Linked DNA regions of Macaca fascicularis. The protein of the gene in region 2 binds, or shares a complex with, the protein of the main gene of each other region. Links are inferred from orthologs where the notes say so. Each region holds a gene or a part of one and is shown on either strand. Other genes may lie near its edges. The genes, in order: MYO7B and CDHR5.

What was found.
Region 1: CDHR5 (region 2) and MYO7B share a complex: the UniProt entries of both Homo sapiens proteins name them as parts of the IMAC/intermicrovillar adhesion complex. The link is inferred for Macaca fascicularis from reciprocal best matches to the Homo sapiens genes CDHR5 and MYO7B.

What each region holds. Positions count from the first base shown.
Region 1 is NC_088386.1:3,907,657-3,911,465, forward strand, and holds part of MYO7B (unconventional myosin-VIIb), read right to left. Parts: intron 2,942-3,809; coding exon 2,824-2,941; intron 2,733-2,823; coding exon 2,606-2,732; intron 1,536-2,605; coding exon 1,372-1,535; intron 281-1,371; coding exon 99-280; intron 1-98. UniProt on the Homo sapiens protein: Myosins are actin-based motor molecules with ATPase activity. Their highly divergent tails are presumed to bind to membranous compartments, which would be moved relative to actin filaments.
Region 2 is NC_088388.1:521,840-524,816, forward strand, and holds part of CDHR5 (cadherin-related family member 5), read right to left. Parts: intron 2,440-2,977; coding exon 2,347-2,439; intron 2,200-2,346; coding exon 2,098-2,199; intron 1,992-2,097; coding exon 1,881-1,991; intron 1,795-1,880; coding exon 1,624-1,794; intron 936-1,623; coding exon 845-935; intron 680-844; coding exon 582-679; intron 463-581; exon of another isoform or gene 404-462; coding exon 203-403; intron 50-202; coding exon 1-49. UniProt on the Homo sapiens protein: Intermicrovillar adhesion molecule that forms, via its extracellular domain, calcium-dependent heterophilic complexes with CDHR2 on adjacent microvilli. Thereby, controls the packing of microvilli at the apical membrane of epithelial cells.

The DNA.
Region 1 (3,809 bases), on a different chromosome or scaffold from region 2:
TCTGCTAGGTGGGCTGCAGGGCCTGAACTAGGCATCCCAGGACCGCTCCACCCTGCCCTTGGGTACCCAGGCTGAGGACAAGGGAGCGTGCCAGTTACCAGCAGCTGTGCCGAGGGCTTAGTGACCGTGGGGATGGTGTAGAGGCAGGCCGTGGGCACCAGCCCCGTCTTGCCCGTCCTGTCGTTCTGGCCGAGGGTCCAGTTCTCAGAGGCCAGCAGCCCCTGCTTCTTTGTCAGGACCAACAGGTCCCCCTTCTTGAAGGCCAGGAGGGTGGCGTCATCTGTAAGGGTAGGGAGGCTGCCATTTGCTGAGGGCTCTGCAGGGGCCAGAGGCTGTGCTGGCATTTTGGGGGTCATCTCCCTTGACGGATGAAACAGAGGCACAGAGTGGTGGGCAGAAGACCACCCCAAGAGTGAGCAGTGGTGGGACTGGAACCTCAGGGGCCTCAGACAGCTGTCACCTGCTACAGCTGCACAGGCGCAGAGCCCAGGGTGCGCGGGGGCTCGAGAGCTGTGACTGCAGCCCTAGCCCTGGGAGACCCTCGGAAGGCTGACCAGGAGCCAGGGATGAGGGAGGGGAGGATGCACAGGCTGGCGGTCCCCACGCCTGGCCTGAGTGCTGCCTGCCTCTCTAGCCCGCTTCCTCATCTGGAATTTGGAGATGGCAATCCTCTTTCCCTCGTGCGGTGGCCGTGAGTACTGAATGGGGCAACAGGGCAGCACATCTCAGCTGACGTTTCTCACTGCCCAAAAACCCCACGCACAGCCTCTTCTGCTGCATCCCAACCAGCACCCCCTTCTGAAGCCCCTGCACTAACTGCACCACCCACTGCCCATGACTGCCCCGCCAGCAGCCTGGGCCAGCAGGGGTCCTGGGGCTTTGTTATGCTCCCCCACAGCCCACAGACACAGCCCAGCTCTCTGGAGTGCTGGCTTGCAGGAGAACTGCGGCCAAGAACTAGGCTCCTCCCCCTTGAGCTGTGTGACCCTGGGCGAGCTACCTCCGTCTCTGGGCCTCTGGCCTCGTGCCTGTAAAACGGGATAATGGGGTGCTTCTGCAGCAGTGCACTGTGGGGATGGTGTTCAAAGCTTCCCTGGGCTGGAGGCTGGCCCCTCTCGGTGCTTTTGCAGCCGTGCAGCGCTGAGCATGGCTGGCCTTGCGGGGCTGGAGACCACCTCCTTTAGCCCCTCATTTTGTAGAAGAGGAAGCAGTGGCTGAGAGAAGGTAGGGCCTGGTCTAAAGTTGCCCCCACAGAGCTTTGGGGCCCGCCCTCCCTCTGCTTGCCTTGCGGCTGCCGTGTGTGGAGATGAGCACGCCGCGTCCCTACAGACCCCACGCGCAGCCCTCCCCCCACCCCACCCAGTCTGGCACCTGTGGCCTTCCTGTCCTGTAGGGCCATGGCGAACACGGACCTCTCCTTCAGGCCCTCCAGGAACAGGGCCACCAACTCAGCGATGGCCACGCTGCTGGGCGACACAAACTCGTATTCCTCATGCATGGTGGAGAGCAGCAGCCTCTGCCTGCCCTGGGCCTCCCTGGACACAAAGGGCAGCATGACCAGGAGCCCCCTCCACCTCCCCGTGATCCAGCCCCTCAACAGCCTCAGGAGGTGGGACTGGGGGTCCTGGGTCACAGATGAGGACACAGAGCTGCTCTACCAGGGCCAGGACCAGGCCAGACACCACTGTGGGTCTGGACAAATGAAGGACGGCGGGGCACAGGGTCCCTCAGAGGCTGCAAGTGGTGCAGCCCGTGTGTGGGGTCGGCTCTGGGCAGATAATGAGGTGGCCGGCGTGCAGGGACACCACAGGGACGCTGCAAAGATCAGAGCTGAGCTGAGTCGGCGGCTCTGCCATGTGCTAACTCTAAGCCACCTAGCCTCGGCGTGCCACAGTTTACTCATCTGCAGAACAGGTGATGCTGTCAGGACTTCGTGGCATACAGGAAAGTACCCAGCACAGACAGCCTCAGTGAGAGGTGGCCAGTGGGGAGAGGTGGCCAGTGGGGAGTGGTGGCCACTGTACACCTGGCACAGCCCAGAGATGCATGTGCCACTCTGTCGTGTGCTTTAACCAAGGGGCACTCTGGCAGGGCTTGGGTGGGACTTCCCAGAAGGCATGAAAAAGTTCCCAGTCAACGAGAGCCATGGAGACCCCTGGGAGTGGGGGTCAGCCCCAGCCTAAGAGGCCCCCCTGCCCTGCCCCGTGCCCCGGGACACACCAGGCACTGTCCCTTGCCGCTGTCCCAGACAATCTGTACCCTCCAGGCTACCAGTTCTCGTCCATGACAAAGAAAGGAGCCTTCTAAATAAGTGCACACCAGAGGCTGCACGCTTCTGTGCCCTTTCCGGGTGGATCTGGGTTTCAAAGAGAAGCTGCGAGTGCAACCGTGATGCTCCAATGGAGTACTTCGTGGGCAGTGCAGCCTGGTGTGGGAGGGTAGGACTCCCAAGTACAGAGGGCATTGTATACGTCGATTCTTGTCCCACCACCCTGGCCTGTCACCCGGGAGCGCACGCCGCCCCTCTCCCCATCTCTCCCTGAGCCCCCAGATGCATCAATCCAAGGACTCAGGGTGTGAGGAGATCTTCCCTCAGGGCCCCCACCTGTTGGCAACCAGACCCATGACCTCTGGGAAAGAGAGCTCCAGCAGCGTCTTCTCCCGCTGGTCCAGGAAGCAAAGCCCCTTCCAGTTAACAGCCAAGATCAGCTGCGTCTTGGGCAGGCGGGGGCCTGGCCAGGAGAGACGGCAATGTGAGGGCTGCATGGGATCCCTGGGTGCCCAGCCCGTACCCGCTCCCCGCCCCCCATCAGATGCCATTACCTGAGAGTGTGGTGACTTCAAAGAGCCGGGAGAAGAGCAGCGGCCACTGCAGGCGGGCGGCGTCCACCACCTGCTCTCGCACGGCCAGTGGTGTGGCTTGCCTCTCAGCGTATGGGGCCTGAGAGGGGGATCCTGGATGTCACTTCCATCACCTGCCTCCCCAGTGAATCCCTCACCCAGTGCTCAGGGTAAAAGAGTTGGTGGATCCTTCTGAGAAGCCTCGACTTAAAGCGAGGCCAGTGCCTGGAGACGGATCCTGCAGGGAGGGACCTGGGACGTCCCCAGGGACTGGCGCAGCCCTATTTTTTTTTTTTTTTTTTTTTTTTTCTTTTTTGAGACAGAGTCTCGCTCTGTCACCCAGGCTGGAGTGCAGTGGTGCGATCTCGGCTCACTGCAAGCTCCGCCTCCCGAGTTCAAGCAATTCTCCCGCCTCAGACTCCCAAGTAGCTGGGACTACAGGCGCGTGCCACTGCGCCTGGCTAATTTCTGTAGTTTCAGTAGAGACAGGGTTTTGCCATGTTGGCCAGGCTGGTCTCAAACTCCTGACCTCAGGTGATCCACCTGTCTTGGCTTCCCAAAGTGCTGGGATTACAGGCGTGAGCCACCGTGCTGCCCTATTCTACCTGGGAGGGGTGTGGGGACCCGTTAGGAGGAGGGAGGAAAGCCGTTCCCTGTCCCCTCATTAGCATCTGTAGGGCGGGGCTGCGCTAGCTGTGGAAGGCGCTGTGTGCCCCAGCCCAGGCTCGCTCTTGCCCGCCTATGCTTGTGGGTCTGTGACTCGCTCCGTGCAGGAGGGCATCCTGCTCCGAGTCTGTGTCCCGGGCGCTTCTCTCTTCTTCTCTGGAGCTCTGCTTTGTCTCTGGGGGCCTCTCTTGGGGACCACCTCTAGTTCCTTGTCTTCCAGTTTCCTTCCTTCCTCTTTCCTGATTCCCTGCCTTCACCCGTTCCTCTCCCCAGCACCACTGTGCCGTGTCCATCAGCGACCA
Region 2 (2,977 bases):
GGAAATGTGAGTGGTTGGTAATTCGATACGTGATGGCCGAGTTGAGGTCCTGGACAGGGTTTCATTGAGTCCCCGGCCAGGCTGCCTCCCATCTGCAGCCCTGACCCACCCACAGAGGGGAGGCCGGGTGGACCCAGGGACCCTGGGCAACAGGAAGGCTGCCGTGGGGGCGGCAGGCATCAGCCTTGCGTGTGCTACCTACCGAGAACTCCGGATCCCGAGCCTGGACCCTCAGAGGCTGAGAGGGGGCAGCTGCATCCTTGACCACAACACCTGCTCCAGCGCCAAGTGCCACGGTGCCACGGTACAGGCTCTGGGGGAAGCGGGGCGGGCTCCCGGCTGCAGCCACAGCCTCCACGGTGACCTGGGTCACTGAGTAGCGGGCAAGGTCGGCCTGCTGGCCCTGGAGGCGGGGGAGGCAGCCGTGACTCGTGGGGTTGACGGTGGAGCTGGTGCTGAAGCCTGGGGCTCAGGAAGAATAGATGCAGACTTGGCAGGGGCCCTGCCCCCCCGCCCTGACCCCCGCCCTACCTTCCACCCTGCCCCCACTGCCCTGCCCCCCGTGCAGGTCCCTACCTCACCTTCACCAGCAGAAGAAAGGTCATGGCTCTGGGGACACTCCTGGCCATGGTGAGGTTGCCGGAGTCTCGGTGGATGACAAATGTACTGTTCACATTTCCTGGGAGGACGATGGAAGTGCTCAGTCCCGGCCTCCTGAGGCCCAGGGACCCAGCCAGCTCTGCCTTGCTGGCAGGTGCCCCTGGGGCTTCCCCAGCCCAAGGTGGGGACAGAGACAGGGACAGAGAGGGGTCCGGGGCATTGTTGAGGGCTGGGCCCCACTCACCACTGAAGATGCTGTAGATGATGGCTTGGTTGATGCCGCGGTCTCCATCCTCGGCGTAGATGGGTCCGGGACGCAGGACGAGGGGGGATGGCTTCAAGGATGGTGGAGAGGAGGGCACGTCGTGAGGCTGGGGTGAATGGCCCCAACCTGGCCCCTCTGGCTCCCCATCAAGGTCAGCCAGGGCAGGGCTGGCTGAGGAGGGGCCCAGTCCCGCTGGTGGCCGGGCATCCCTGCCTGTCTAGGACTGTCCCTTGTCCCAGTATCACAGTGAGTCACACCCCTGTGGGTCCCTCACTAACGAATAAGTTGCCCAAAGATACTGAGTGCCATTTGCACGATGCTTGTCTTGACGGCTAAGCAGACATTTAGGAAGCGGGGGGTTCCCGGGGTCTGCGTTTCTGCCTCTCATGTGCTGTTTGGTGGCCCCGGGTGCCTTGGTGCTGTGAAGGTTTGCAGACAGCCTGTGTGGGCCTAGTGGTGACTGTGAGCAGGGCAGAGATCTCACCATCCCTTAAGAACTCCAGGGCCCCAGCCCACCTCCCCAGGCCCCTGAGACCGCCTGGCTCTGGGGCCCACACTCCTCTCTGTGTGTTCAGGGTTTGCTCCCTCAAGATGGGAAAGATTGGTTTATAAGGAGAGTCTGTATTTGTTTCAAAGTCACAACCAAACTTGGCCCCACCCGCTGACCCTGACCCTGCCCTTCTTCTGATCCTGGCCGTCCCTGCCTCCAACCTGCCTAGAAGGCCCCGCCCCGGGCACTGCCCCTCCCTCCCCATTACCAGTGTGTGCCCCGTGGGGACAGCCCCGTGGTACTGAGCTTGGATGCAGACGTAGCCGTCTGAGAAGGTGCAGGGCAGGAACCAGGGGGGCCGCAGGTCGGCAGGCACCACGTTCAGCACCAGCGTGGCGGTGGCCGTGTGGCTGGGCTCCACATTCTCCTCCGGAGTGTCCTGCAACAGCCAGATCAGGCCTGGGAGCAGCTGGGGCCAGGGGGACCTCAAGCATGTGGGACTCAGGGCTGGGGTGAGCCGCTCACCCGCACCAGCAGCCGGAAGGCCATGTTGGGCCGCTCGTAGAAGTCCAGGGGCCGGTCCAGCCTCAGGGCGGGATAGTTTACACCCACCAGGGAGAAGTAGTCACTGGCACCCTGGGGAGGATCAGGGAGGACACAGCCTAAGAGCCTGGGAGGGCGAGGGCGGCTGCGGGTGTCAGTGGCGAGGGGCTCACGCTGGGGCAGGGCAGGCGGCACTGACTGCGGTCGCTTCCTGGAGGGTGTAGAACAGAAGGTCATCCTTGTCTTTGTCCTTGGCCTGCAGTTCTGTCTCAGGGATGACGGTGGAGTTTACTTTAGTGTCCTAGGGAGGGAGAGGGGCTTGGTCTGGCCACACTCTTGGCCCCTGTGGACCCCCGCTGTGGTTGAGCCCCCGGCCACCACTCGCCCCTTGCCCTCACCCTGGGCTCCCGCACCCCCTGCCCAGCCCTGGCAGCTTCGCTGGCCTCACCTCTTCCACCCTTATCTCCTTGGTTGTAAAGGGGAATTCGGGGGCGTTGTCATTGACGTCCAGCACTGACACGAACACCCTCAGCTGGGTCACCTGCAGGATGTGGCCGTCAGCCTCTCCCACAGCCGCTCCCCATCATGAGTGAGGTGTACCCCTCGACGCTATCCTTCCCCATCGTGAGTGAGGTGCACCCCTCGACAGCTATCCGTCCACTCGCTCAGTGGTGTTGGGGGGCTGCAGGGGGGCTGCACAGCTCTAGGTGCTGGGATGCAGAGATCACAAGAGACAAATCTCTGCCCGGTGGTGCCTGTCCTGGCAGGACTTACAACAACAGACAAAAAGGACTTTATAAAGCCAGGAGGTGGCAGGTGCGCCACAGAAAAATAATGCAGGTACTTGGGGATGCAACCAGCAGAATCTCAAGCGAGGAAAGACAATCCAGTTCTTTTCTTTGTTTTCTTTTTGGATACAGAGTCTCATTCTGTCACCCAGGCTGGAGTGCAGTGGCGTGATCTTGGCTCACTGCAACATCTGCCTCCCAGGTTTAAGCGGTTCTCCTGCCTCTGCCTCTCGAGTAGCTGGGATTACAGGCGCCGCCATCACACCCGGGTAATTTTTTATTTTTAGAAGA